4 linked regions of the Rhinolophus ferrumequinum genome follow. The protein of the gene in region 3 purifies or fractionates together with the protein of the main gene of each other region. This does not show direct contact. Links are inferred from orthologs where the notes say so. Each region holds a gene or a part of one and is shown on either strand. Other genes may lie near its edges. The genes, in order: CYTH3, CYTH1, INAVA and CYTH2.

Region 1 (7,089 bases), on a different chromosome or scaffold from region 3:
AAGCCAGTTTTTTAGAAGCCTGGTGAGGTATGAAGTTTGGGATAATTCGTAAGCAGATGGTACAAAGCATGGCAAGGTACGTTCCAGAAGACAAACCTGGGAAAAAAGACAGCAGCTAGAAGGTGGCAGGGAAAGTGGGAGCCCTTACTGAGATTCAGCTTTGCCTCATGGATTCCGTCTGGCTTGACAATGAGGGATTGGAGAAACTGTGCATTTCTATGCGTAACAGTGATGAGCATTGATTGACTGAGCGCTTACCGTGTGCCATGCTCTGTTTGCGTATGGTAACGTCTAGTTCTAGTTCTCAGAGCAACTGAGTTGTTGTAGGTTCCATTTCAGGTACAGAAACGAGGGCACAGAGTGGTGAGGTAACTTTCCCAAGGTCACACAGTCAAGACAAGGAAGTGCCTGGGCTGTCTGACTTGACAGCCTGCATTATCCAGTTACCAGAGGTGACACGCGATGATGTAACCTAGTGACTTTCCTGGGCATTATGTGGCCTCTTTTCAAAGGCAACGAATGACCTGAACTCATGGCTGGCTTTCGCTGTCCTACAAGTCAAATTGCAGCATCACATTTGCTCGGACACACAGCGCTCTGCGACGGGTGTTGTGCGGTCGCTTGGTTGCTGGCTGGGAGCACACTTTCTATTTAGAGAACCATGATCACAGACAGATGTTCTGTGTCCTTATGTTTGTCATTTTCACCCTTTTTCTTTCTTTCACCCGAATTGCCTGTCCTATGGTACGTTCTGCACCCCAAGATGGATTTTCCTGATGACTTTAAGCGGCACACTGCAGACTCAGGCCAACTTCTGAAGGGGATGTTTTTAAATGAAAAAAAAACAAGTTTTTTTTTTTTAGGTCAGGGAACATGCTATAAAAATGAAGAACTAGATAAAAACAACACAGCTTTTTATTACAATAGAAGACGCCGTGTGTATAATAACTCTTAATGTTGATGCTGCCTCGAGTGGGTATAATGTTTTTCTCCCGAAGGCAAATAGCTCGAAATGGTGGCTAACTTATTTTTTCCAAGTTTACCACAAATAAGAAATTTGACCATGTTTGTTCTTGCAAAAATGCAAGTTACTAATCAATCTAAAAGGCAGGAAGCTGCCCTTGGTAACGTGAGGCCCGAGAACTGTTGTCGATCGTGTGGCTTCCAGGCTGGAGAACAAGGCCAAGGCTCACTGCATGGACGTATTGGAAAGGGAACGGCAACGCTGGGAAGGACGTGATGCCTGGGCTTTTGAAAATTTAATGAGGATGTGACTTGACACTCGGACCCCTGTCGTTTGCTTGGGCAGAGTGGAGAACGCTGATCTGTACAAGATCACCTCTATACCAATGAGATGTTTTCTGTCCTAGATGAAATGAGATTTCAGAAAACATTGCCTTCCTTTTTAGGACTGTGAGCTGGCTGCTGTGTATGCCTTCCCTGGACTAGACCAGACCCCCAAGCAGATGTAACGGATTAGTCGAGGTTCCCATCTGTTAACGGTCACTGCTATCTCTGCATTTCTTGACCGCTGTCAGAGGGGATGGGAACTGCCCTGCGCAGGGTCTGGAAGCAGCCGGAGCTCAGGCAGCCTCGGCAGCCTCTTCCTGGCTGAGCTTGAAGAAACCAGTTTTGGCAGGTTTTGGCTGTTGTGTCGTTAGTGCTGGGAGAGGACACGTCTGTCTGATTTCACACTTTCACTTGGAGAATGGAGATGAGGGTAAAAAGGAGAAATCCTCTGACCTTTCCAGTATGTGCACATTCTTGATTTTTTAAAACTATTTCTGCAATGGTCAAAGGGCTGATAAATGAGTTTTAACATGTTTTTAAGATGTCTCCTGCCCTATTCATCCAGCAGTAGTAACAAATAAATACAGTAGCTTTCTCCCCTTTTATGACACCGCTAAGCCCTGCAGTGGATCCTGGAGACAGAATAAATACAGACTACAGTCTGGGTCTGAAGGAGTTTCAGGTGGCAAAGCCACTACAAGGAAACAGCAAATACTGTGAGAAAGGCTATAAATAGGGTTGGGCTCAAAATTTCCATTAAATAATTGTTTGTGTAATTATCTACTTAATGGCTGTATTCCTTCTAGGGCGTACGTCCCTTAAGGAGAGGGACTGACTCTATCTTTTTCATCATCATATTCCCAGCTCCTGGGATAGTGCTTGGTCTACATGTTTATTGTCTGACTGAATGATGGTAACAAGGTTTTGGATTTAACACTTGTTGTCTCGGGGTGATGTCTGCTGCATGAATCGTTTTCCTTACATTCAGTGATAAAGCTTTCAACATCTGAGTCGCCCACACATAAGCTGGACATAAAGTGAGTGCCTATCTTAGCGGATAACTAGGATTCTTAATGTTCCTATATGTAGGGGCAACCTGCCTGTGGGCAGATTAGATAACTATGCTGGTGGGATTTAAGAGATACAGCAAAACCGCTCTTTTTTTAAAGAAATCTAATTTTTCCATTAGATATGAATTCCTTTGAGTAGTGAAAGTTTTGAAATCTTCCAATTTCCCCATTCAAGTGCAGAAATGACACCCAAAGCCCGTATTCTCCCAACAGTTTTGCAGGCTTTGTCGAAAAGAATAAGCTGTGAGGATAACATAATATTCTGCTTACAAATAACTGGGCAACTGGGCTATGCTTTATTCTGATGGAAATTAGCTTAGATGGAGATCAGAGAAGCAATTTTCAGATTTAAACTTTGAGAGAAGCTCCTATGGATCACACTCTACGAAAACTAAAGAATTAGGAATTGACATCTAAAAGCATTTATAATTGATAATATCTTTGAGTTCAAAGCTCCACATACCACATTATCAAGTTCCAAGTATGTTGTCATTTTTCCTGGTAACTGATGTTATCTCCAAGATAACCAAGCGGACGGGAACAGGATCAGGAAGCCAAGTCTTAAATCTACATTCCATGATGCCCAGACCCCTTTTCAGTTGCATATTTGTCACATAAGCTGCCAAACATTTTATTTGCACCCAGAAGTGTGCTCGGTGGCTTGAGAAGTACCCGAATGCTGGGTGTTTAATTCTTGAGATTACTAGGAGATTGAATTCTTTGGAATCATCTCACAACCTTGAACAAAAAGGTGAAAATTGTCCATTTTGATAAATGACAGAACAGGTTCCTTCCCCTCAATGGGCCATTTGTAAATATAAAACAGTTGCTGGAAAATTATATTAGAGATGAATTATCTCCTCCATTACAATGTTTCCTTTTCTTTAATGCAATTTAGTTGAAGCAAAATGAACAGAAAGGCTCGGGAGGGGCCACATTCGATGCTTTGGGAGGAGTTACTGGAAGCAAGATGGGGAGAGAGAAAGGTGATTCATAGAAGATCTGGAGCAGGAGCAAGTGGAGGCCTTCTGCCCAAGAGGCGTGCGCTGAGGACCCTGGCTGTGCCCACAGGAAATTGAATTCAGAGCTCCTTCTGCATCATAATCCAGGGCAGCTGGCGGCTTCCCAAGGGAGACTGGAGCGAAACTGCAAGGGCATCTGAGGCCACACTGGCCAATCTCTGCAGAGCCCGCTGAGGGTGGGGCCCCAAGTGTGCCGGATTGGGACCTCATGATGACGTCCATTTACAAGCCTTACACTTTGTTAATTTTAAAGTGCACTCATCGCTAGGAAAGGAGCGCCTCCATTATACACCAGAAAGCTGAAGGGTTGGAATTACTCTGTAATCTCTCAGGGCCGAAGAGGGAAGGCCTGACTTTGGAAGACGTGCGCGTCTTGATCTTTTTTTCTGAGTGCACGTGCGAGGAGGATCCCTCGCCGCTGAGTTTTGTGGGGTGGACATTCCCGTGTTCCGACCCCACAGCCGTCCCCAAGCTGCTCAGAAGCGGGGGCCGGGCAGGTGTCCACGCTCGGCTGGCCGGGGAGGGTCGGCGGTCTCAGCCTGGCGGGGTAGGCTCCGCCGGGTCAGGGCGGGGCCTGAGCGCGCGGCCCCGCCCACCGCGGTCCGGGGCGGGGCCTGAGCGTCACGTGACGGCGGCGCCGAGCGCGAGCGCCCCGCCCGGCCGGAGGAGGCCCGGGCGGCGACCCGGCCCGCGCGCTGCCGGAGCCGTCCGACCGCCCGCGCGCTCGGCACTCGCGGCGCCCTCCGCCCGCGGCCCCTCGCCCGCGGGTCTCGGGCTCGCCGGCAGCGGGAGCGGCCTCAAGATGGACGAAGACGGCGGCGGCGGCGAGGGCGGCGGCGGTGAGTGTGGGAGGTGTGGCCGGCCGGGCTGGCGGCCTGGGGCGGAGGAGGGCGGTCGGGGTCTGGGGTCGGGGTCCGCCTGAGGAGACCGGGTCCGCGCAGCGCTGGTGCCCGCTGACGACCGCCGAGGCCCGCAGCGTGCAGGGCCCGGAGACCGAGGCGGGGGTCCGGGCGCCGTGGGGAGGAGGCGGGCGGCGCTGCCGCCGAGCCCGAGCGAGGGTCCGGGGCGAGGCCGGCGGCCCGTCGGCTGGGGCCGCTCGGGGCCTGGAGCCGGGGCTCGGGGTCCCTCTCCTGGGGCGGGGCACCTCGGGGGCGACCTGCCCCGCCTCCTGTCGCCGCGGGCGGCTGTGCCCTCCGGAGCCCGACCGCAGGGGGACGAGCCTCGCAGCGTCTTTTCTCGGGTGGTGGGAAGTGAGCGAACCCCCGGGAACCAGGGAGGGGAAAGTTTTGAATCGGGGATCCTCGGGGTCCGAGAGAGGCGGGTGGGGGAAGCGGGCGGAGAGGCGTGACAGTTTTGCTGGCGTGAGGTCAGAAGCGGTCAGCGAGGTCCTTGGGCGAGGAGGGCCAGCCAGCGCGCCCGTTCCGTGAACTAGGACACGTTCCCGACTCAGCAGAAAATAAGCCTCGCTCGGAGAGGACACCCGAGACCCAGCTGTCGGCCCGACGCTCCGGTCCCTGTCGCCGGGAGACTCGCACTGGCGGTCAGTTACTTAGTGGGATGCACAGTGCTTTTGTGTCACGCCGCGAATTCTGACTTTCAAACAGAATAACGTGTCTGTGTGTATGGAGTGGGTCGTGTGTGGAAAGCAAAGGGTTAACACCCCTAGTTTTACTGCAACACCCGAAGTGGAGGTTCTCCCTACTTTGACGACCTCCTTTCTGCTGACGGACCGAGTCATCCCCACCCCTGGTAATAAGGGAGCGTTCTGAAAAAAAATCTTAATTACAGGCTGCGGGAGCCGCTGCCGCATTCTGCACGCTCCGGATCAAGTCCTCGGTGAATCAAGGTGCCTCGTAGCATTTAAGTGCTGCTCACGGGGAGTGTTTGTGCCCCAAGAAGCGACGCGGCTGTGATGGTGGGAAGTTGGCAGCAGGGGTGGCATTTGGCGACTTCAGTTCTCATAGTGAAAGGGAGGGGTCGCCCTGTGGCTCGAGTGGGTGTGGTGTTTGTGAAAGAAAGTGCTGTGGAAAGAAGGAGCCCAGTTGCAAACCCTCCCACAAGCCAGGCTGGCTGTCTGGAGACGAAGTCCTGGACTCTAAATGCCTTGCTTCCTGCGTCTCCCAATTTGGGTACCAACAGGCAGAGCAGTTTTTCCTTTTTAGAAAATAAAGACACAGACCTGTAATAGTTAAGCGTTTGCCATTTACAGTCAAGGTAGCCAGCTGGTTTGGCGATTTTGTCTGGAAGGTGTTTCTGAGTTAAGGACTATAGAAAGCTTGAAGGTAAAAGTAGGTTTAAAGATTAAGAAAAGGAAGCCAGTGTGCCTCAGCAGTTTATAGGTCTTGAGGACTATAACAAAGGATGGTATTAAGTATCAAAGTCTTTAGACTTTCTTTGGGCTCTTAATATCTCCTCTGGGAATACAGCCTTCAAGTTCAAAAAAAAATATATCATGCGTGAAGATGTGCATTACCCTGTAATAGTAGAAAATTGGAAACAGCAGTGCTTAGTAGGAGATTGGTGAGGTAAATTATGGGAAGCTTATTGGACGAATTGTTTTATGACCATTACAAATAAGCAGTTTTGGGCCGGCCCGGTGGCTCAGGTGGTTGGAGCTCCATGCTCCTAACTCCAAAGGCTGCTGGTTCGAGTCCCACATGGGCCAGTGGGCTCTCAGCCACAAGGTTGCCAGTTCAATTCCTCGAGTCCTGCAAGGGATGGTGGGCTGTGCCCCCTGCAACTTGCAACGGCAACTGGACCTGGAGCTGAGCTGTGCCCTCCACAACTAAGACTGAAAGGACAACAACTTGAAGCTGAATGGCACCCTCCACAACTAAGATTGAAAGGACAACAACTTGACTTGAAAAACAGGCCTGGAAGTACACACTGTTCCCCAATAAAGTCCTGTTCCCCTTCCCCAATAAAATCTTTAAAAAAAAAATAAGCAGTTGTATACATCATGGTCTAAACAATGAAAAAACTGGTGATACCATGTTTCCCCGAAAATAAGACCTAACCAGAAAATAAGCCCCAGCATGATTTTTTCAGGATGACAGCCCCTGAACATAAGCAAGAATATAAGACCCGGTCTTATTTTCGGGGAAACATGATACTGTGGATGTTTTATTTTCTTAGTTTTTATATTTTCCAAGTTTCTGGAATGAGGTGTATTACTTCCACTTTTGAACAAAAAAAGTATTAAAATTTTACTCTGCAGTAGGAAAGGAGAATGATTGTTGTAATGTATGATTTAATTCACTTCACTGGAACAGTCAATGATGACGGATGTTGATCGATTGTCTGTCTACTACGACCCCAGGCAGCATGCTAGGTGCTGGAAAACGGTGTCAAACCTTTACTGATATGGTTTATTAAGATCTTTCTTTCTTGCATTATGGAAGACACTTAAAAATATGTTTGGCAATCTTAGAATGAGTATATTTTTGAAACAGTGAAAATCTTAAAACTTTGAAATAAGAATCATTATTCATTGATTATTGTATAAATTTGGTGTGCTTATATTTGGAGATTTTGAAGTTAACTTACCTCTTTACAGTTCTTTAGTTATTACTACTATTTATATTTCTAAACAATGCTTTGCTTTAAAATTCACGTTTTTAAAAATAAAGTTCGGCCCTTGGGAAGAGAATAATTTCAGTTGCCAGTCATTTGTCAGCCAATTGTAAAACATAATTTTTTGGGGGTAT
Region 2 (7,682 bases), on a different chromosome or scaffold from region 3:
GAAACACAGAACCACAGAAACAGGACCCAGTTTTGGGCAGCGGCTGGGGAACGTCTCAGGACGATGTTGGAAGCAGGCTCAGGCGAGGGGGTGAGGGTACAGTCCATGGATGGCCGTCCCGCAAACAGATCCACGGCGTTCTGACCATGGTGGCAGTTTTACGCCTTGGGGAGAGCTTGGCGATTAATCAGTAAGAGAAGTAAGCAAACAAAAAAGAAGACACTTAACACCTCTGTGGTCATTTTAATCACAGCGCATGGTATGGCTACGCTGTGAGCAATATTTACGAAACACTAACTCCTGATGTAACCAGAAATGTACATGTAGCTACACTGAGTGGCTGCGCGCACGTGCGTGTTGGGGGTAATGGCAGAACTGAAAACTCAAGAATGGATGGTGTGAGCCTGTTATTTAGAAATGCTGAAATAATTAGCAGAAGAAATAGCTGAAAGAGCTTCCTCTACGGAACAGGATTCGAGGGCGAGGGGTAGAGTTGGGCAGGAAACGGTGGTTTCTGTTTTAAGCCTTACGTAATGCTTGCTTTTATATGGTGTGTGCGTGTTGTTTTGCTTAAAGAAAAACACCAGGCACGAGTGGTGAGGAATGAGCCTGGAGAGACCGCAGGGTCAGGTTAAGGAAGGTCTTGAAACGGTGATGAGAAGCATAGACTCGGGCAGATGAAGGGGCCATTGAGTTCTTCAGGAGTGGCTTCCGGCATCGGGTGTTGTAGTGTGCCCTCCATCTCTGCCCGTGTCCCTCCTGCCCTCTGCTGGAGGCCGCCCTGGATGTGCTGTGTCCTCAGTCCCCTCCCTACCAGACTTCCCACCAGTGGCCTCTCCCTGCAGCCACCTCGTCCTGCAGGCCTGGCACTGATAAAGCTGCTCCCTCTCGCTGGCCCTGGGGGCTCCGTCACTCCTGTTGGTCTCCCCAAACTCTGCCCTCACGTTTACAGACAGACATGACTCCCGCTTTGAGTGCAGCTGTGTGTCCTTGGCATTATGACTGATGAGAAAAACCTTTCCCTAGAATATTGCATGAATATTCATGGAAGTGTTCTTGTGTCATTTCAAACCATTACTTGCTCGCATGCTCTCAGCTTATCCTCCACCAGAGGGGGTGAGGCTGGAGTAAAGGATCAAGGCTTATTTAAGGTGTTTCATTAATTGAAAATAAAAAGTGTCTTGGGTGAAAACCCCTGCATGCAAACGGCCTCGTGTGATTTTCAACATGAACAGCTATCGGGTGTGTTCTTCCGCTTTGTTGAGCTGTCTGGTGCTGATGACAAGGCCTGGGCCAGTCCCCTTGCCTCCTGCCTCGTGACTCCGCTGCTGCTCTGCAGCCTGGGGACCTGCTCTGCTTCTGTAGCTCTTGTTCCTTGTTCTTCAAAGTGCTTTGAACTTGGGCACAGCCCCCCTTTGGATAACTGCCCCACCGTCCTTCCCACCGGTGCTGTGCCCAGCAGGGGGTAGGTGATGCCAGGGCTGCCCCCCTTAATGCCTGTTGGCTGATGTCATTCTGAATAGTTTTCAATCTCAGAAATGTCCTCATATGGGTAAGTTACGCAGTCACTTTCCTGATGAGTGAGTCAAACATATAATTGGGTGCTTCAGTAGTTAAATTTCTATTTTAAGGAATTGAAGACGTTACTCGTTCATTACTTCCTTTTTAACAAACAGTGTTATGTGTTGTACTAACTGTGGAGCAACAGAAATCACACAGAAGACAGGGTGGAGTTGGCCCAGGAGTGCCCGCCGTGCTCCCAGTTTTAAGGCCTAAGTGGCAGCCTTTCTGCCAGCAGCTCATGGGTGCTGGCACTGAACCTGTCCTGCAGGCTGGCCTGGGGTCTGTGAGGTGCCCCCCTGTGCCCAAACTGGGATGATGGCCCTGTGAGCCATTTAGTCCCTCTTTTGAGAACGTGAACTGGGCGGCCTCGCAAGAATGCAGCGTGAGTAGTGGAGCAGAGCGGGAAGTCACACAGCCCGCAGCCCGGAGGAGAGAGCGGAGGGGCCGGGAGTGGCCTGAGTGATGGGGGCCGGCGGCTGCGTGAGCTGGGAGGCCCCGTCCTCCTCCTGTCCCGGCCTTCACACCCCATGTGTGGCAAGTCCTCGGTCCTGCCTTCGAAGTAGGCAGAGCGAGAGTTTGACCCCTTCCTGCGGAAGCCACCACCATCCCAGCCGGTCTCCCTGTGTCTGCCCTGTCTGTTCTTCCCCCGCAGCCGAAGTGGTATCTTTACAAAGGAAGTCAGGTCTTCCACTTCATTCCGAACCCTGGCAGCCGCTACCCGCCTCACCCCCAGTGGACACCAGAGTCCTTAAAATCGCCTCCAAGGCCCGGGCAGCCCTCCCCTCCTGTGTCTCGGCTCCAGCCACCCTGGCCGCCCCCACCCCCACGCGCGCAGCTCCACGTGGCGTTACTTCTTGTTTGTTTCCTGCCCTCACCCCCCAGCTCCCCGCCAGGGCAGGCCTACTTCTCTGATGTGTGTCCAGGACGCCGCACAGCACGCAGGTGTTGAGTGAAACGAATGAGGATGAGATTAGAGATTTGACTGCAACAGGAACTCTTCTCTAAGACAGAAGATAACCACAACTGATGCTAAAAGCAAGTGACAAGAGTGTGGGAGAAATATTTACAACATGTACGTTAGTGACCCACAAATCGGTAAGAAAAGATAACTGATCGGAAAATTGGCAAAGGACATGATCAAGCATTTCACAAAAGAGGAAATACCTCACGTTTAGGAAAATATATCAGCATCTCAGTCACAGATCGCTGCAAACTGAACAACTGTGAAGCCATTTTCACTCATAGACGGGCAGAAATGAGGGGTGTCCTTTGGGGGTCTCGGGGAGCCTTGGGCCGGATCTGGGAAAGCTCTGAGCACCGGGCCTCCCGGGCCAGCAGTTCTGCCCGAGGGCGTCTGTTCCGGAGAAACGCTCTTCCACTTGACAGTAAGTAGAAGATGGAAGGGACCTGTCTTCTTCAAATGGGGACCAGCAGCAGCGGAGATCAGCCCTGGTGCCGGCAGGGAAGCTTTAAGCTTTGGCTTGAAAAGGAGCAGAGCCGGGCAATCCCGGGGTTTACTGCAGATGGGGTGGGAGGGAGAAAGCGTAACTGCAACATGGACTTTCGGATTTATGTTAGTTGCCTCTACAAAACAGTGCTTTTTACAAATGTAGATGTACATATTTATTTATTATTAGACAAGAAGGAAAAGGGTGGCCAAGGTCCTGCCCTCGAGGCACCTGTGGCCACCTTCAGATGTGACTGGAGGCTGCGCTCTGGTGTGTCGCTGTGGATGGTGTTTCTGCCCCACTAGGACCCTGTCCAGGACGGCACGGTCACCCCCTACCCCCAGCCTGCTGCAGGAGTTTGCACCCCACCAGGGGGTGGGCCCTGCAGTCAGACGGGGTCAGTGCCAGGTTTGGGACTTTGGGCAAGCTGTGGGACGTCTGTACGTCTCAGTGTCCTCATCTGGGCACGGGCGCTGGAGATAGCACTTGCCTCATGAGGTGCTCTCAGGGTTAGAGGAGCCCGGCCTTGTCAGGCTGGTGCAAAGGGAGCACCCAGGAGTGTTGCCACACGACGATACCCCAGCTGCTGTCACCTGTACGTGTGACTGGCTGAGGTGCCGACCCCTCAGTCTCACCCACGAGCAGGTGGGAGGCTGTGTCTGGATCCCGCTGGGGACGTTGCTGAAGAGGTGGTGACAGGCACGTGCCAAGAAGTACCTGGGTGAGAGGTTGGCACAGAATCCGGCAGCCTCCGGGACGTCTCACAGTAGGGGGATGGCTACATATTCTGTCCATATCGTGAATAATAAAAGTACGATCGGTGTCCATTTTACAGTCATGGAAAATGTTTGTTACGAGTAAAAATAGCTGGTTAAGAGAGAGCATATAAAAGATCTAGTTCTTTCTGTCTATGTATATGTATATATATTTATGTGTATGTATACTTATCTATATGCTTATCTTGAAATAATATAAATATATCGCGAGAGAAATATATGTAATATGTATTATATAGGAGAGATACAGGAGGTACATATATAGATAGATACATGTGTGTGTAGAACATAGAACAAAAGTCTGGAAGAATATAAAGAATATATACCAAAATGTCATCAGTGGGTGTCCCTGGTGATAGGATTAAGGTTTTTGGTTTTGCTTTCCTCATTACTGTTATCTAATTTCAACAACAAACGTATCGTGAATGTAATGAGTGTGCAGAGAAGAACAGCTTGGTGGGGCCCGGGAGAAAATAGAATGGTGGTAAAATTGAACTTCTTCGGAGAGTGTTGCTCTTGGATTTTTTGTTTTTGTCTCTCAAGTCTGCCTTCTGCTTTCAGCCTGTGACCTCATAACATACCGTCTGATTACGATCTTAGTCTTTCCCTTGGGAAATGTTATCTTATTGTGCGAGGCCCAGGGGTTTTCAGTGATTGTGTGCTAAGAAAGCACTTGGGAAAGGAAGAGGGGAACCCATGGCTTTGGTTGAATCTGAGGAAAGAGCAGCAGGGCAGCTCTTAGACTCCTTGGCGTCCAGCCCAAGACTGCTGGTAGGGAGGACGAGGGAGGAGACGGCAAGGAGGAAGCCGCTTGGGCTTCACCTCAGGAACTGGGCGGTGGCAGTGGACGGGTGACGCTGCTTCTGCGGCTGGAGGCTGATTGGCCCAGGAGGGCAGCCGGCCAGCCCCGGGGTTCAGGAAGCAGCTCTGAGCTGTCCTGGCGGGGCAGCCCTCAGGTATTCCTGGCCTGCCCAGCCCTACCTCCCAGGAAAACTTGGCGGAGTTCTCCTTTGAAGAGCAAAACCGAGCCACCTTTGGGGTTCTGCTGTGACGGAGAAAGATGGTCCTTAAAACCGAGGAGGAGAGCGGTGAGTCCGGTCTCGCCGTGGGTGTGTGGAGTGGGGTTTAAGTATCTCTGTTGATCAGTGTGTGAAGTCCTGTGACGACAGTTCCACTGCCCTCTGGGACAAGTGGCAACCCAGACTCTGCTTTGTGTCTTCCTGTTTTCCGGAGGAAGGTGGAGGGCGATTTAGTGTTCAGAGGCTCAGGAGTGTGTGTGTGTGTGTGTGTGTGTGTGTGTGAGAGAGAGAGAGAGAGAGAGAGACAGAGACACACACACTTGGTGTGTTTTTAAGCCAAAGAATCTCCGCCCCCATCTTTGCCCTGGGTGCTGCTTGGCTGAGGGCAGGGAGCGGGCGCTCTGGCTTGGTGCTCCAGCCTATGCTTCCTGCATCTGAGTAAGTTGGTCAGAAGCTCTGGGAGTTGCATGTATGTCCACAGTGAGCGTCACACTAAAAAGAAAAGATGTTAGAGACCTGGTGGAAAGCACACCAGAGAGCTTCAGGGTAAATAGTATCTGCTTGTGTTAGATACAGTGTAACGAAGGGAGCCTGCAGATAGCTCCCATCTTCCTCTTTTGAACTTCCTTCATCTCCTCCACACCCACACTGTAGACAGTGACGCTATGAGTAAAAGGATGACAAATTTTGTGGCTTATGAATCCCAAAAGAGTCTTCAGGAGTGTCTCAAAGCACAGGTCAGGGCTTTACAACGTTCTGGAGTCACAGGTTTGTGTGTGGACGTGTGGATTTTATGTGATGCCTTCACCCCATGGCAGTGTTTTAATGGCACAAGACACAACGGCAAAATGGCTACTGGTTTGTACCTGGTAGGGGATGACATGAGTACGTTTGAAGTAAATACTAGGCTGTGTTTCAAAGTGGATTTTGTAAAAGTTGTAATAAAGTTTGGGAGTCCTTTTATGCTTTTCCTTCCCCGGTTCACTATGAAACACCTTCTAAAGTTTTACCTCTAGTCATGCAGATGACCGTGGGCCGTGTGTGTGGGTTGCTTTGGAAAGCTGTACCGTGCGTGAAAGGCTTTAGGAGAGAGGGACATAAATCGGTGTTTATAATGACAGTTCTGCATTTGAAGAGGGACAGTAAGGAGAGGCAGATCTAGGTCAGGCTGAGCTGCCCGTGGGGGAGGTGTTGTATCCGAAAGGCCAGTCTACGGTAGACTCGAGTTCGAAGGTCTCTAGTTCAAAAGCGGGTACTTTTGAGAGTGAAAAAGGACATTAGGTGTGACCCACTGGCCTGGGCAGATGCTGACTGCTGGTGACCGTGTCCTCTAGACAAGCCTGGCTGTAGACCCACGGAGGGGGCGTTGTTTAACGAACGATGTCATCAGCCTCTAACCGTCCGAGAGCTTTAAAATTCCACACTAGCCATTCAGCGTGTGGCACTTGTTTCAGTGGTGGGGGTGTGAGACACCATTTTAGGGCAGGGACTTCAGACACCAGAGTTTAGGGTTAGATCAATGGGCACCTTTGCTTTGAAGAAGGGGCCTCCAGAAATGAGCGCTTCTCTCCGTTCCTCTAGCCCTCCCCCCCGGGACCTTAGGGGGGCACGTTACCTTTTTAACCACCGCTAAAGCCGCTGCCCCATGGTGTTGAGATGAGATGCAGAAACAGCGTCGGGCACGTGTGCAATGAAGGGAGCTGTGGACTTTCCTTGGGCAGCTCCCCGAGGTCCCAGGAGAGGGAGAGAAGGGAGAGTTAGGTGTCAGCCTTACGCGCACGAGAGCTGCTTTTCCTAGATGTTTAACCCAAAGAGCATGCCCAGTAAAGGGAAGTGGGGGGTTCTGAAGATTTCTTTAAAGAAGTCAGGTCCTCTCCTGATGCACCAAGTCAGAGCCCCAGCCCTTAAGTGACAGTTAGTGCTTTCTGCCTCTGTCCTTACTGGCGCTTTCGCTCATCAGTTTCGGTTGCCGTCTTTCGCAGGTATGTTAGGTGGGCATGGACCAGGGGACTGAATCAGGCACAGCTGTCGTCACTGCCGGAGGTGCGCTTTTAGCTGTTGAATCTTATCTTCGGGATGCTTAGTTCCCCTTGATTTGCCTTTCAACCTCCTCTGTGGGGTGGAGTCCAAGCCCCTCGCTGTGTGGGACACGAGGCCTCACAGTACTCTCTGGGCTCTTCTGAGTGCTGTCCCCGTCCCCACGTGTCCTGGGCCCTGACCTGACCCAGGCACCCAGCCACGCCTGGCCTCCCTGTCTCGTGTGACATGTGGGTCCACACTGGTCTGTGCTGCTCTGTTTGGACAATCCATTCGTCCTCAAGTCCTGTCCCAGAGGCCCGGCCCCTCGGAAGCCTCTCGGCGTCTGTCCCCAGGTGTCCCTGAGTACTGGGCGTGCGCGGCTGCGGTGGCAGTGTGTGGTGCCCAACGGGCTCACGTGCATCCTCCACTGGCATTCACGTTCCACTCAGGGAGGGGCTGGAGCTATTTAAATCCCAGCGCCACGCACAGGCTGGGCCTGTGCACATGCTCAGTAAATGCTGAGCTGACGGGAGCCTGCTTGTAACAGTGAGAGGAAATAAAGAGCCGAGGCCTCAGCCGGGGATCCTGACTTAGTACTAAGCTCCGTTAGCGGCTGACCCGGTAGGTGCTTCGTACTCCGTGAGTCTTCTCTGGAAACGGGAGGTTACACGGCGCATAGTTTATTGTCAGGAAATAGGCATAGTTCATAGTTGGACTTTGTTGTCACATTCAAATAAAAATGGAAATGATAACACATTTTAAGCTATAAGTCACCATGTGAGTATAAAGTATCATTTATAGGAAAAATCTCCAAACAGAAGTAAGTATAGTGCCTCTGCACGAGGGTGTTGATTTTC
Region 3 (7,789 bases):
GACGGAGAGCTCTCCGGCCCTCCCCATGTTTGCCCCCAGCAGAGGCCTCGCCCAGCTTCCCACCCCCCTCCAGTCCTGCAGCATCTCAGCCTGGCCAGCCCGGGGGCACCTGGGACTCAGAGAGCCGGGCCTTCCTGAGCCACTCACCAGACTGCAGGATTATGCCACTGTCGCTGTCGCTGACCTCATCCTTACTCTCCATGGTGGACTTCTGGGAGGAGGCTGCACAGCGCAGGGAGGGATGACACCGTTCCCAGCCTGAGCCACGACGTGTGGGCGGCCTGGAATTTCCCCAACTTTTAAGAGACCGAAAAAGCTACGTGTAAACCCCCTTGGTCCCAAACAGAGCTTAGCAATCATGCTGGAGGGCACAGGGCATGGAGGTGAGGACAGTGCTCCCTTGGGTGAGCACACATGGGGGTTCTCAGCAATGGGGGTGCGCAGAGAGAAGGCTCTGTGGGCCCCACCACCATACCTCCTCCCCGGGGGCTTGCTGGGCCCACCACAGCCCCCCACTGCCTCCTACCCAGAGAGACACGTAGGCCCAAGTGGTTCAAGAGTGGAGGTGGCCCCAGGAACTACTGACCCTGGGGAGAAGGTCAATAATGAGAAGAACAAAAGGAAGGGGACAAGAAGAAAGGGTGGGGGAAAGGAAAGCAGGAAGGGGACAATGTCCCCAGGAGGCATGCCAGTCCCTATAGGGCCACTGTTCTCAGCCAGAGGACCCGGCGGGCCCATCCTGCTGCCCGAGTCGCTGGTCTCTGGGCATTCAGCCAAGGCCCTGGGCTGGTGCCCCAAAGCCCAAGCTGCCCGGCTCTCTGGACCAGGATATTCATCCGAAGGCAGATGCCAGACAGCTAGCTGTCCCAAAGCCTGAACCAACTCCTACGACACCAGCCATGACCAGGAGATCCCTTGAGGGGGAGTCGGCCTAATCAACCTGGACCCCTTGGACCCACAGACAGAGGAGCCTCGGGGGGGTGTGTCAGGGTTGCTGGGGGTGGAGGGAGGGTGACAAGAGCAGAAGCTGCCTTCCTGGGGCTTGGGGACACTGGGGTGGCACGGCACAGTACCAGCATCACCAAAACAGCACCTGCTGCGTGTCCCCTCTCATGAGCCCACACCCCTGGTCGGCCCAGCTGGCTGGGCTGGGCAGCTGTGGTTGCAGTGCTGCAGGGGTGGGGAGGGCGGGCGGAGCCGGGCGGGCGTCTGGAAGGAGCCCAGCCACCTCCTCACTGAGTCAGCCCATTAAGCAACAGTCCAGTCCTCGCAGAGTTTCTGTCTAGAGCTTATCCTGCCTCCGGAGGGCAGGGGCCACGGAGCAATGGGGGTGCGCAGGAGAGAAACACGGGCCTTGGGAGAGCAGACACAAAGCAAGACACAGAGAGGAAGCCCCCTCCCCCCAGAAGCACCTCTGCCATTGGAGACAGAAAGCGCAGAACAAGTGCAGAACAAGCGAGCGGCTTTCCAGACCTCCGTAAACACCACCGCCCGTCAACGTGCACAGGCAGAAACAGCTGAGAACCTCAGGAACCTGCACTTGGGCAGTTCAGCTCCAATGAAGCCTCGAGAGTGGGTGGCAGGATTGAACAAGAAAGTTTATGTGTGGCCTTTGCAAACCTGTCTAAGAGACTGGCCGTATGTTCTGGGACCATCGTAGGGGAGTCACCCTGGCCAGTCTGTCCGTCCCTCCCAGGAGATGAGAGCCGGCAGTCACTCTCCTCCTACCCCGCGGCCTCTGACCCTCCCCAGGCCAGGCCAGGCCCAGCCCCAGAGCCGGGCGGAAGCCAGTTTCAGCCAGCTGGGGCCTGGGACGGCAGGGGTAATGTGTGAGGGGAGCCATTAACTAGCCACACTTGCTAATTAATTATTAACTTCGGAAGGGATCTCCGTGGGAAGTTGTGCCCCCAGTTCAGGGACTGACATGGGGGGCTGAGCAGACACCCCTTAGCGGCCTCCTCTCCCCCAGCCCCTCCCCCCAAGTCAGCTGGGTCTGGGGGGGGGGAGGCACTGCCCTCAGGGGTCCCAATCTGGCGCAGTGCCCACCAGGGGCGCACTTCCTGCTCCAAGCACAGGCCTTGAAGTCGGGAACCCCAGATTGGAGTCTGTTATCTGGGCAAGTCACCCCACCTGACTGGGCCCCGTTTCTCCACAGGCACAATGGATATGAGCCAGTGGCTAAGGCCCGTCCAGCCCCCGGCCTGAACGCAGACCTCTGGGACCCTGTCAGACACACCATTCCCTCCTCTGGCCCTGCTGGTACCTTCCGCACAGTGGGGACTGGTCCAGTGGGGACCAGTCCCGAGCCCACCTTCACCCAGGGGGGCACGGGGCTCCAGCCAAGGTGTCTCAGGCCCTGCTTTTAGGCAAAGGCAGTTTGGGGAATGTCCACTCCCTCCCCACAGAAAAACCTCTGCCCTCCAGGACCTCAGATCCAGTCCTGGGCCCTAAGACGCAGTCTGTCCGCCTGACTGAACAACGTCCCCAGGAAAAGGCAGAGGAGGAAGAAGGGGAGTGAAGGGGGGAATGGAAACTCCGTGCACCCTCCCTCAGGGCTCCTCTTGTCAATCACTAATGTGCCCCGCAGCCCGGGTCCTCATCCCTGCTTCTCCCTCCTCCTGGGGAAACTGAGGCCTCACCACTACAAGGCCAGGCTCCGCATCCGGTCCCACCAGCACCCCAGCGCCCCTGGGCCCTAGACGGGAAGGGGAGGTGGTGCTGGCCAGCGCCTGAGCCACTCCCGGGCCAGCCTGCCCCTCGGCCCCAAGGACCTGTTCCTCCAGCTGCCCTTCCCTCACCTGCTGTGCGTGAGTCCGGGGAAACAGCCCCAGTTCCCAGGTCAGGGGGCCGACGGGCGTCGCATGTCCCTTGGGGTCTCCCAGGCCACAGGGCGAGCTCCTGGCACTCTCTCTCTGACCTGCTCCCACTCCGCACACACTGGTCTGCCAGCACTTGGCCTGCCTCCCTCCCAGGCTGCTGGGCCCGGGGAACCTGGTTGCTTGTTATGACTTGAGTCAGAGGGAGGAGCAGGTGAGCTAGTCCCTCCCTGAATAAACCTGCGTGGCTGCCACAGGGCGTCTGCACTTCCGGGCAGCAGAGGAGCAGGGGGAAGGGGCCCCCCTGGGAGCAACGCGGGCGTTCACAGGGGTCCCGTCTTCATGGCCTCTGGGGCACTGGTGCAAAGGGCTGAGGTGGGGGGCTCCCGTGCCCTCCTGCCCTGACCCTGGCTCCCTCAGATGGCATTGTCCTGTACCTCAGTTTCCTTTTCCAGAAATCCGGGCACACAGCCCCCCCAAAGCAGATGGAAGGGCTACAGCCATGGGGTGGGGGGTGAGAGGGGGGAGGCGGGTACCAGCAAGAAACTTATAAAGTGACGAGGCCAGGTCCTTGCTCTTCCCATACACAGAAACGGACACCAAGCCTGAGTTCTGTCTCTCCCAAGTCAGCTTAGAAGCCTCAGGAAGGCAGTGACCCCGGAACTCCATGTGGGGAGGCTCTGGGGCCCCGAAGCAGGCCCAGCTGCTTTTTATCCCCAACGCCTCCCCCCAGGACCATCAAGACCATCACTTCCCTGTTATTATCGACATCCTTCAGCAGGGTCCACGGGGACCCGAAGCCCAGTCCTGTCCCCTCCTCCCCAGGAGGGCCACTGTCACCCCAGGCTCTAAGCCCATTCCTCAAACTCCAAAATGGAACTTGTTTCCCACAAAAAAATAAGCTTCCAGCTCCACCCCCTCATTGCCCCTCAAGCAAACACTGTTGGAATTCAGCCTGTTTTACTGGGGAAGCAAAGGGCTCAGGCCACCTGTTGCCTGTCCCCATCGAGCTGGAAAACAGAAAGGCTGCGGATTAAGGACTGTCCCCCACAAGACTTTACCCCACCACCTCCGTTTCCCCCACTCTGTTCCTCCCGCCACAACCCCCCTCCCTGGGATCCCAGCACAGCCTAGGCCCGCACTGCTTCCCTCCCCCACCCCCAGAGTCGGGATGAAGAAGTCAGCTCCACCAAGGACCTCCAGTGGAGCAGAGCTGGGTCACCCACCGAGCTCCCCTTGCTCCCTCCCCTTCCCCAGCACCCCCCTACACACACCCAGCTCCCCTTCGCATTCCTGCACACACCCTCTTTCCAAACAATGGAGGCCTCCAGGCTGACCACCTCCTTCCCTCCCCAGGCTGAGGCTGAGGGGCCCCTCCAGGGGACAGCCCCTCCAGGGGACAGCCCCTTGGATGGACAGGAGCCAGCTCTTGGTCAAGAGCCTGCAGCCCTCCCCTCCCCCCATCTAGGAAAAACAACAGGCGCCCCCACCCCCCACAGGTTTGTCACATTCTTCCAACGTCAAACGAGGCACCTAATTGACACCCTCCCTCTACCTCGCCCATCCCCCAGCTCCAGGTGGGGGAGGATGGGAATTTCTGGGATCAGCTCACAGCATATGTTTTGATGCATAAAATAAAATGAAGAGAATTACTGAGAACCAATTATATTGAAACACAGTTCTCAAAACAAACAAACCAAAAAAAAAACAACAGTGATGTATGTGCACCTTCACTGACATTTACACAGGATCTATCAGTGGGGAATGTCGCAGAAGTGATGAGTGGACAATATTTCAAGGCAGCTACGACTGCAATGTGACATGAAACTGCGAATTCTATTAATGGCAAAGTCACAGGTGCTGCCCAGAGCTTCTCGCCTTGTCACCGAGGGCAAAGCTGAATCTCTGCTAAAGGTGGTAGAAAAGAAAGATGTGGGGTTTTCCCCATGGAAGTTCATGAACCCTCGGAATTCTCTCCAGATGCTTTGGTGCCCAGGACCCAGTTAAGAACCCCGCCTTCCGGGAACCCCCCCTCTGCAATCAGAGGCCCCCTTGCTCCCTCAAATTCACAGGCAGTGTTTCCCAATGCAGCAGAATCTGGGGTTTGGAGTGCGACTGGCAAATCCACTCTCCAAGACCCCAGGCCCACTGGATCTGGCTGTGCCGCGCCATTCAACTCAAAACACCAAGGGAAGATGGGCATTCCAGGGAACTTGGGGTTCCATGTCCCCACTACCAGCCAGTCTAGGTCAGGGGGCTGATGGATGCCCCAAACCGCAGACCACCAGCTGGGGAGGACGTGGATTTTCCTCGCGTCACATTAGAGTACTTAGAATCTGATCTGTGATCGGAGAAAAACCACCTCTCTTTAGGGTGGTCAGTTCCTAAGGAAAAGTCCTGAATCAGAAAAGTCTTCCACACCCCGTCTCCCTCCACTCCCCAATATTGTGTGAAGTTCCTTCTGATCCGTGATTGGAAGTTCTTTTAAAGCCAGGGCCTCTCCTACGTCTCCACTTCCCCACCCGCACCCCGCAACGTCCAGTCTCAGGCGCCCTGGAATTCCACCGAATGAATTAACAATCAGTGGTCTGCGCTAGGCCAGCCGCGCAAAAAGCAAGAGGGGAGTGGGCCGGGGACCCTCCAGGCGAAGGGGGTGGGAGGTGCTTCTTCAACCGTGTTCTTCCTCCACTCTCCTCCCTCCCCACTGGGAGAGGTGTTCGCCTCCAGCAAGCGGTGATGGCGTGGCTGGGACGGGGAACCCCAGCTGGCCCGGAAGGCGGCCTGAAACCAGACCTCTGGCTTTCCTTAAAAGCCCCTTTGTGCGGTCCACCCTCTCCCCTCCCCCACTGCGCCCTCCGCATCCAAGCGGCCGGGACTTTGCTCCTTTTGTTTGGCTGCTTTCTGGCTTCCCGGAACCTGGCCGGCGGGGGGGTCCACAGCACGGGGAGGGTCCAAGGAGAAAGGTGGAGGCGGTGGAAATAGGCATTTGGGGTAGGAACTCAGAATTCCCACCCTCTTGGCGAATTCCCCCATTCCTTGTAGGGGCCCCTCCGCTAAGGCCGAGGACCGTGGGTTCAGGGACCGATCCCCCGCTCACCCGGCCGCGGCCCCCGTTTCCCTCTTACCTGTCCCTCGGAGCTGCGGCGCCGCGCGCCCGCGCCCGCGCGCCCGGGTCCGACCCCGCAGCCGCAGGACCCGCGTGTCCAGGCCGCCGTCCCTCCCCCCGGCCCGCCCTCCCCGGAGGTATTCCATTTAACTTCGGCATTTGCAGCATCCCAAATGTTAAAGATCCCAAGACATCTGTCCCCCGGGGCGTACCAAGGCGCGGAGGAGGGGGGAAGCCGCACGAGGGGCTTCAGGATTCCCACCCCAGAGTCGGGCGGGGCCGCGTGCGGGGCGGGAAGGTGCCATCGTGGGTGGGTGGCCTGCGGGGGCACCGGCTTTAGGGGCGAGGCCGTTCCCCTCCGCCCGATTTCGGGCGCCCGCGTGCTGGACCCCCCCGGCGCGGCCGGTTCCCGCGGCCCTGGCGGGAGGAGGCTCCTCTGCGTTCGCGCGCCGCCTTCATCCGCGCGCTCCGGCCGGGTATGGCGGGGCAGCTCCATTCCCGAGACCCAGCGGTGCGAGAGGCGGCGGGGGCGCCGCGCCCCTGCCAGCTCTCGTGCGCCCTGGGAGCCGGCATTGCCTCCCCTCCTGCGCCCCAGCCCAGCCCTCCTCCTCCGGTGCTGCTGGCCGAGCTCAGGACGGAAAAGCCAAGGAGCTCCACCCTTCATTCATTCATTCATTCACTTCACGTCCCTGTTCTCATTCGCTCAAAACAACAGTGTGCCCAGAGCTGATGGTCGGAATGCAGGTTCCTTCCCCGGAGGACACCACCACCACCACCATCACCACCACCACCATCACTACCACCATCACCACCGCCATCACCACCATCACCACCACCATCACCATCACCACCTCCATCGCCACCACCACCACCGCCACCACCACACACCTAGACTGTTATCAAGCCGCAGCAGTGTCCGTGAGGTCAGGCCCAGGCCCCAGGCGCAGAGAGGGACCGCCAAGCCTGGCCGCAGGAGGCAGTGCCAGGGTAATTTGGAAGGTGTGAGGAACCTAAGGCAGCAGTGTCAGGATGCACAAAAGCTGAAAGACAAAGGGGCTCAGTAGGTCCTAGGAGCTGTGGGGACATTCGGGTGTGGGACAAGCAAGAGGGAAGGGAATGGAAGATGGGAGAGAGACAAGGCTAGTGGGCAAGCACGGCCCCCTGGGGTTGTCCAGGTTGTGCACTGTGCAAAGAGAAAAGGCTCACACACACTCCACGTGCCAAGCCCGGACCGGGGCCAGAGCTAAATCTGCCTAGAGGTGGTGGCTTTTTCTCATTTGTACGAAGGCACAATGAGCTAAGCTGGCTGACAACCCATGTGGGCTGGCTAAAGATTTAAGATTTTTATCCTGAAATTGAAGAGAAGATAGTTGCATCACTCAGGGTTCTCCAAAGAAACAGAAAAAAAGAAAAGAATATATACTGGGAGTGCCAAAAACTGTATACTTGTATTCATCTTTTGTTACCGGTATATATGGAGTATCACAATTTTAATACAATTTTTTCCTTTCTTAAAATGTGTATGCATTTTGGGGGCACCCTCTGTATATTTGAGAAAGCTGACAAGTCCAAAGCCTGCAGGGAAGGCTGACCAGCTGGGGACCTAGGGGAGAGCTGCAGTGGGGCCCAAAGGCACTCAGCCTGCAGAAGCTCCTCTTCATCAGAAGAGGTCAATCAGCCTCTTTCACGGTCAGCTGACTGGATGAGGCCCACCCCCATTACAGGATGGAACCTGCTTCACTCAGTCTACCGTTCCTTTAAATGTTAATGTCATTTAAAATATACCTTCACAGAAACATCTAGAAGAATGTTTGACCAACTGTCTGGGTACCATGGACTCAGCCGAGCTGACACAACATTCGCCATG
Region 4 (7,663 bases), on a different chromosome or scaffold from region 3:
CCCGAATTCCCCAACATCCACTGATGGTCCCCATATATTCCTAATGTGCAATCTTATGCACCCTAGACTTCTAGATGGTCCCCATACATCCCAGACGTCCAGAGATGGCCCTTATGCTCCCAGATGTCCGCGGGGTCCCCATACTTCCTAGACATCCACTGACAGTTCCCATACTTCCCAGCTGTCCATACAATTCCCGTGCACACCAGTTGTCTACATGGTTCTCATGTTCCCATGACACTTACGGATGCTCTCCACTGTCCCAGACGTAAACGGATCGTCTCCACACTTCCCAAATGTCCACAGAAATGCTCCATGCCCCCCAAATGCTCATGGACGGTCCCAGTCTCCCCCAGGTCCCTGTGTCAGTCCATTCTGTCACAGTCCAGTCAGAAGGCTGGTCTATCAGGGCCTCTCAGGAGACGAGCTGGCAGTGTGAGGGCAGGAGCTGGGTGTAGGGGGCTGTAGGGAGAGGTCCAGGGGAGTGGGTGGGGATCTCACCTCTCCCCCAGGTAGTCCCCGATGGCTGTCTTGTTCAGGCCTTCGCCCTTGTACAGGAAGCGGGCGATCTCCTCAGGTGTGTTCTGCAGAAGTTCATTCTCCACCAAGAACTGGATCCCCTGGAGGGTGGGGTCTGGGTCTCAGTGCTGATGTGCTCAGAAAGCCACTTTCCACTACCTCCCCGGAAACTACAGCACGCAAACCCACCCCCACGCTCAACAGGGCAGGGCCAGGTGTCATTTTCAGGCTTCTCACAGGTCTTTAAATAACATCCCTCCCACCTCATAACCTTTGCACCTACTGTTCCCTCTGCCTTTTCCTAGTTAATTCCAGCACCCAGAGCAGGGTCCGCAAGGGACAGGAGCTCAGTGGATATTGGTTGAATGATTGAACAAACTACAATTGCTTCGGGCAGCAGTCTGTCAAGGGCTGTGAGGACCAAGCCTCAGACTGGACTAGGGCCTTCTCTGGCTCTCCTGATGCCATGAGGGCATCCATTATAGCTCTATAATGGACACCACTGAATTGTGGTATCCACGTCTAGGGGCTCCCTGAGGGCAGGGTCAAACTCTTCTCTGGGCTCCCAGCATTGCCTAGCAGAGGGGCAGGCCCAAGGGAGGCCTCAGGAACTGGGTATAAAGAGAAAGACTGAATCAACAAACATCTTTCCTCCATCTGGTGAACACCAACTCGTCCTTCACACCAGATCTGAACGTCCCCTTCTCTGGGAAGCCCTCCATGACTGCATTGGGCTCCCTCCTCTGAGTGTCCACAGCTCTTGTACCTCCATATCACGGCAGTGGTCAACCTGCCTTTGTGTATGTCACTGTCCATGTTCCCCACCAGACATAAGCTCGTCCTGGGACTCTAGGTGACACCGGAAGTGGGTCCAGGAATATGAGCAAAAAGAGGAAAGAGGATCTCCCAGAGAACACAGCACAGGCCAAGGTCAGGAGGCTGAAATATTTGGTTAGTATTCAGAGAATAAGTGGAGAGCCAGTTTCTAAATCCAGAGATTAGGACCAAATCTGTACACCTAAAGTAGGCCTTTAACCATCACACTTGTGGAACATGGAGGTGCCAGAACCTCCGTCAAGATATCTGCTAGGCGGATCCCAGCCCTGTGGCCCCCAGGCACCTTCTTGGGATCCATGTTGAACTTCTTCCTGCCCATGGCCATTTTCCGGTTCCGCTGCAAGGTCTTGCTGCAGGGCAGAGAGCAGGGGGATGGAGGGTCAATACCTGGGCATCCCTGGCCCCGGCCTGGCCCCATGACCCCCAAATTCGCTACCCAGCCCTCACCTGCCCTCATTGGCCTCCAGACCCTCCACCTCACTCATGGCTTCGCTGAGCTCCTCCCGCAGGCGCTGGATCTCCACCAGCAGCTCCTGCTTCCGTCGCCGGATGTTCTCCAACTCCATCCGCTCCTCCGGCGTAAGGTCTGGGGGTTCTAGGGGTCAGGAGTTGGAGGTCAGTTCTGTGGACTGTGAGCCTGGATTCCTGCAATCTGGGGGATGACAGGGGTGCGGGAAGGGGGAACAGGACTCCTAGGTTCGTGGGGATGATGAAAATGAGGGTCCAGCATCCTATGTCTAATGGAAGAAGGGGCTGGTGGCCTCTTGAGTCCTGGGGGAGGCGGGGACCCGGGGTCCGGGCTCCTGAGTCTGAGGGAGAAGGGGGCTGGAGCTTGAACTCTTAGGTCTGGGGGAGACTGGGCTAGCAGCCTGAACTGCTGGTTCCATTACTTGGAAAGGGGTTGAGGCCTTGGTGTTCTGCTTCCATTACTGGCAAGGTAGCTGGGACCTGGATGTCCGGACTCCTGTTCCATGAAAAGTTAACTATGGCAAGGAAAGCTGATGACAGCTCGTAAGAGTTGGGAAAGGGGGCGGGACATCAAAGGCCTCCGTCTTAGCCGGATCTCTGCAGCCCCCAAGATTTCTTCCCTACTCCGCCGCCCCCAGAAGTCCCCCTGCCTGCTCCCAGCAGGCACTGGGCTCGCCCGGCCCCTCCGGCGGGGAAGGTTCCGCCTCGGCCTCGCCTCCGCTGCTCCATCCCGTCCCCTCCCGCCGCCACCGGAAACAGGATCGGCCCAAACAATGGCCTGGAACGCCCCGCTCTAGGGTCTCGCCGGAAGCCCATCCCAAGCCCCATAAAAGCAAGGCGGCAACGATGGGGCCGAACGGCTCCGCGAGGTGAGCGCCAAAGGGAACGTTCGCACCGGAACGTTCGGGACGAAAGACTCCATCTGCTCGTGCCAGCTCCACCCCTCCCCGACCTACCATAGACACCGTCCTCCATGGCGGCTAGGAAGGCCCGCGGGGAGTCCGGGGCGGTCCCGCCGGTCGGGCCTGGATCCGCGTTGGCCCGCGGGCTCGAGTGAGCCCGCTCAAACGCCCCGGGAGCCACCGCCGCCTCCTCAGCGCCAGTCCTCAGCGCTGAAAAGACTCTCTCTTCGCCTACCAACCGCCCCGCCTGTAGGGACCGCCCCTCGTTTCGACACCGTCCAATCCACTGCAGGCCCTCTCGTCTGCTCCGCCCCCGGTACCGAAGGGCCATCCTCCAGGGCCAATAAGGGCACAAGGAGCAGACGTAGCCATGTCCGGTCGGAGGTAGACGGCCTGCGATGCCAATCGGAGTGCAGCCAGTGCGTCGGGCCCCGCCTCCGAAACAAAAGAAGTCACTTGGCTGGATTGCTCGCCAATGAGAAACCTCGGAAAGGATTTGCATGGAGGTGGGACTATGCGGGAGCACAGAGGACTGCGCCTGCCCAAGGGCTGTGGGCACAAGGACACTATTATAGTTCAACCGAGCCCCGCCTCTAGTTGTGTGTTTCGGGGGGGGGGGGGGCGGTACTTTGTTAGCCTTGTTGCTAGGGGGCGGGGCCACAGCTGTCGGATGTTTTCGTGAGCCACACCTCCTAGAAGTCCAAGCTGGCTTTTGACCGCAGCGGTTGCCACGCAACCGGGAGCAGCTTTGGTTAGCTCACCTTTCTTTTATCCTCCTTCCTCCGGGAACTGGCCCCTCCGATCTCCAGTCCCTTTTCTTAACCCCTCCTATGACCCCATCCACCTCAGCCTCTTCAAAGTCAACGAGTGGTGGAACAAAGACGTATTCTTTCTTCTAAATGCTACGCTATTTGGTATCTGTCAAGGAGAATGGGACAATAGGGAAAGGCCAAATATAGTGAAAGCAGAGGCTCCGCCTTCCTGGCACCTGCTGACTCTCAGGCTCTTCCCTCTCCCCCAAACTCCTCCCCTTATTTTAGCATCCTCCCCCTCTGACAACTTTCCTCAGCACCCTCCCACCTCTGATTCCTTCCCCCTTCTAAGAGTCCATTCACTCCTTTCCAACTCGCCTCATTCAGGTTCCCCCTTCTCTCACATTCTTGCTCTTTTTAAATGCCTTTCTCCTCTCAGAATTCTCCCGCATTTGAGTCCTCCCAGCCTCTCATTCTCATTTCTCGCAGGCAAAGCAGGTGCAGGATCTTGGCCTGGATGGAGAACCTGGGCACCCAGGTCCGTAATTGGGTCTGAGGTGGTGTCTGGGCCTCGTCCTCGTTCGCTGCCTCTGGGCTAGGCAGGTGGGGACAAATTCAGGGCCAGGACCTGGTTAAACTGACAGATTAGACACAGCGCCTCCTAATCCCCTTACTGACCTTTATGAGTGGCCCAGGCCCTGCCCTTCCAGTGGAAACCCAGGCTGTGCCATCCCTGACCCTACTCTCTTTCCTTCCAAACAGAACCTTTTTCCTGTCCCTTTATCTCCAACGTAACATCCTTCTCCATCCCTGTGTTTCTATTGTCCCCAGTCCCTACCCCAGATAGACACCGTGAGCTGGGAGAGCAGCCAGATAATCAATCCCATCCAGTTATTGTGTGACAATTCTGAGGGATAAAGGGAGATGAGGGAGCCAGAAGGGGGACCTCGGTTGGTGCAGCACTTGGGCAGACTGATGTGCAAGTGCCCGTTCTCAGCCCTGGGACACGGGTGGGAACGTGTCCTTCTCCCTAGCACTGGCTCCTTCTGTGGCTAGCTCCCAGTCTGCTGGACACTGAGATAGATAGCAGCACGGGCAGGGACCAGGCCCAAGGACCCATGCCCCAGCAGCAGTCACAGACATACCACGAAGGCTCCCAGTGTTTTAATCTGGGGGACAAGTCTTCCCTTAAACACATACTTTCCCCTGGCATTCAGAGCTACCTCCTCCTTCTACTGCCCCCCGAAGCTGGACCAGGGAAGAGGTGGTTCCAGCCCACAACCACAGTCCTCACTACCCTTTGCCTGCCCTGTCATTCTGAAATCCAAGTTCAGAGCTGGCCTCCAAGAGCATCTCTGATACCACTTGCCCACGGAAAACTATGTGTTCTAGCACCAGGGAGAGCTGGGAAATCTCTATGACCCGCACCCCCACCCAACCCTCAGTGAATTGAGGAATCATCCTGGTTGAAAGTTCCTTGGAGAAGTTTCAATGCCCCATTTTAATGCCCCAAAGTTCCTTGGAGAAGTTTCAATGCCCCATTTTAATAGATGGGGAAACTGAGGTGAGGAGAGGGGAGTGATTTGCCCTAAGTCACCCAGTACATTGGGGCAGAGTTGGGATTTAGAGCAAAGCTTCCCAATCCTGTAAAGGACTCCATTCGAATTAGCTCAAGCTCCATTTCTAACCCTTCTTTAGGAACCTTTGGAAAAAAATAGATATCAGTATTTATAATATATATAATACACATATGTATAACATCTTTAAGACACAGACATACATCACTAGGTGTAGAATCCAGAGCATTGTAGACTCGCCAGCTTTGGGCCTCTCCCTTCTCTTGCCCAATAACTAGCCCTGTTACCTACAGGGTCTTGCCTGGGCCCTCACCTTCTAAGTCAGCCCAGAAATTCTACCTATCAAGTCCTGAGTCCACCTCCTAGAACTAAGAGCTGATCAGAACTTCCAGGTTTTGCTAATGGACAACTCTGGATCCCTGGAGCCTTGGTTCATTTTGGCATTACAGAACCACAAATAAGTCATCTAGAATCATTAGGATTCTCAACTTCATTGGGCAAACTGGAATCAGTAAATCTCAGACATCTAGAATCGCCACTCCTTCCTTGACTCTGTGATCAATCTCGAGCCACAGAATCTTGGTTCCTTTGGACATTCTAGAATGGCACTTAAAAGAAAAACCCTGTGGATCATTTAGAAGCATTGATTATGCCCTTGCTTCGATGTTCTACAGCTAGTGGTCTGGAAATATCTACTATCAAGAACTCCCAATCTGTCACTTTAGTTCTTCTAGACTCACACTCTCCATTGTTTTGTGCATTCTAGAAATATTACTCTTTAGTTTCTGGAGTAGTTCTTCTCTCTGTAAATCTAGATTCACAGAATCTCAAAATATGGGTTTTCTGGAACCACAGGTCTTTTCTTGACTTTGGTCAAGACATTCCTTGTCTTTGGTCAATCAAGACAGTCTTGAATTCTTGGGGCATTCCATAACTTTCCCTCCTCAGGTGGTCTAGAAAAAATGATTTGCTACTTAGTTGGCTGAGTCTAGAAGTAACAGTCCCTTGAATCTATAGGTCGATCCAGACCTATAAACTTTTTCTCTGTTGCTGCTCTAGAAGTGCTGACTTCCTCCTCCAGAGGTGGTCTATACCATGGATTCCTGACCCTGTTCAACAACCCAAGCCAGCCATATAGAATAATCTGGAACCACCAGCCCTTCCCTCTCAGATGGTCCCGAGTTCTGGATCCCTTAGCTCTGGTGAGACTCAGGAATCAGGCTGATAAAAGGGTCTCAGGAGGGAGCACAAAATGTAGATGAATTAAGATCGAGTGGGTCCATTAGGCATGGCAGAACTTCACCAGCTAATCATTTACCCAGCAGACCTGTCCGTCTTGGAGAACACCTGCCCCCACCCCAGGAGAGGACCTGATCTCTCCATCTTGCTGCCTCTGGGAAGGGGGTACAAATGGGGGGACACCAGCTGACATCACGGGGGCAGGGGCAGCGCCAGCGTTGGTGTGAGTACTCAGGGGCTGGCAGCCACATCTTCTGTCTTCATCTCATCCCCCTCCGTGGCCTCCTCTTCCTCCTCTTCCTCCTGGCAGCAGCTCAGAGCAAGTTCATTCTCATAACAAAATGCAGCCAGAGAGCCGGGGAAGTTAGACTTGGGGCTGTGGGAATCCCGCTCTGCCTGTTCATCCAGCTCCTTGGCACTACAGACCGGTGTCCCTGGGACCTCATAAGTGCGATGGAAGTGGCGATAATCGACCTCATACTGGGAGCCACGCTGGAAGAGGACTGGTTCAAAACGATGGCCCCAGAGCAGCTCACCAGGGAGATAGGAAGAACGACACTGTGTGGTCATAGCTGTGGCCTCAACCATGCCCTCCAGAATGACCACTAGTTCAAAGTCAGCCCGGGCCAGCTCGGCACATCCAAGTTCATACAGAGGACTGGAGGAATCAATCTCATGCACGATGGTAATGGGAGACACAAGGAAGATACGATCAGTGCCACCATCAAAGCCCACATCCACGTCCTGGTGGTCCAGTGGTATGTACTCACCCTCCGGGGTCACTCGAGGCTGTAGCCGAAGGCATGGGTCCAAAGACAGCAGGAAGCATGGAGATGAAAGCAGACGGAGAAGGTAACAGAAACGAATAGCGATGCAGAGAAAGAGGAGAGCAGGGATCGGCAGGGGTAAGGGTAGGGTGAGTATAAGAATTGGGGAAGTGCAAGATGGTGACCCAGAAAGAGAGGAGGACATGGGGGAGGGGACAGAGACCCAGAGAGAGAGAGAGAGAGAGAGAGAGGGACCGAGACCCAGAGATAAACAGAAATGGACAGAGACTCAGAGAGGGTTTAGGGATAAAACCCAAGGAAGAGAAAGACGGGAGAGAGGAAGAGAGGGACAGTGACATTGGCATAGAGCCACAGAAATGAGCAAGGCAGAAACGAAGTTAAAGAAACAGAAGAATGACATCCGACCAGCAATTGGAGAAGGAGAAGAGGGAGAGAAAAATGGCTTTCAATATGTCGCCAGAGAAAGATAAACCAAGAAGACACTCTAGGTCCCACATCCTGTGTTCCACCACTGCTTCAGGCTAGCCCCTGGGCTCCTCGCACACCACCCACCTGCAACTGAACTACAAGCCCTGCACCCC

The links.
Region 1: the proteins of INAVA (region 3) and CYTH3 purify together in Homo sapiens (co-immunoprecipitation; 3 studies listed by BioGRID and IntAct, counting the BioPlex papers as one, with this or other methods). This does not show direct contact. The link is inferred for Rhinolophus ferrumequinum from reciprocal best matches to the Homo sapiens genes INAVA and CYTH3.
Region 2: the proteins of INAVA (region 3) and CYTH1 purify together in Homo sapiens (co-immunoprecipitation; 3 studies listed by BioGRID and IntAct, counting the BioPlex papers as one, with this or other methods). This does not show direct contact. The link is inferred for Rhinolophus ferrumequinum from reciprocal best matches to the Homo sapiens genes INAVA and CYTH1.
Region 4: the proteins of INAVA (region 3) and CYTH2 purify together in Homo sapiens (co-immunoprecipitation; 3 studies listed by BioGRID and IntAct, counting the BioPlex papers as one, with this or other methods). This does not show direct contact. The link is inferred for Rhinolophus ferrumequinum from reciprocal best matches to the Homo sapiens genes INAVA and CYTH2.

Annotation. Positions count from the first base shown.
Region 1 is NC_046307.1:41,044,485-41,051,573, reverse strand, and holds the start of CYTH3 (cytohesin-3), read left to right. Parts: upstream 1-4,076; 5' UTR 4,077-4,184; coding exon 4,185-4,221; intron 4,222-7,089. UniProt on the Homo sapiens protein: Promotes guanine-nucleotide exchange on ARF1 and ARF6. Promotes the activation of ARF factors through replacement of GDP with GTP. Plays a role in the epithelial polarization.
Region 2 is NC_046304.1:52,556,571-52,564,252, reverse strand, and holds the start of CYTH1 (cytohesin-1), read left to right. Parts: upstream 1-4,681; 5' UTR 4,682-4,847; coding exon 4,848-4,875; intron 4,876-7,682. UniProt on the Homo sapiens protein: Promotes guanine-nucleotide exchange on ARF1, ARF5 and ARF6. Promotes the activation of ARF factors through replacement of GDP with GTP.
Region 3 is NC_046310.1:1,238,017-1,245,805, forward strand, and holds the start of INAVA (innate immunity activator protein), read right to left. Parts: upstream 3,007-7,789; 5' UTR 2,799-3,006; intron 297-2,798; 5' UTR 203-296; coding exon 148-202; intron 1-147. UniProt on the Homo sapiens protein: Expressed in peripheral macrophages and intestinal myeloid-derived cells, is required for optimal PRR (pattern recognition receptor)-induced signaling, cytokine secretion, and bacterial clearance.
Region 4 is NC_046298.1:44,010,029-44,017,691, reverse strand, and holds the start of CYTH2 (cytohesin-2), read right to left. Parts: upstream 3,001-7,663; 5' UTR 2,800-3,000; coding exon 2,781-2,799; intron 1,952-2,780; coding exon 1,804-1,951; intron 1,707-1,803; coding exon 1,640-1,706; intron 621-1,639; coding exon 502-620; intron 1-501. Other genes in the region: KCNJ14 (ATP-sensitive inward rectifier potassium channel 14), read right to left, coding at 6,526-7,083. UniProt on the Homo sapiens protein: Acts as a guanine-nucleotide exchange factor (GEF). Promotes guanine-nucleotide exchange on ARF1, ARF3 and ARF6. Activates ARF factors through replacement of GDP with GTP.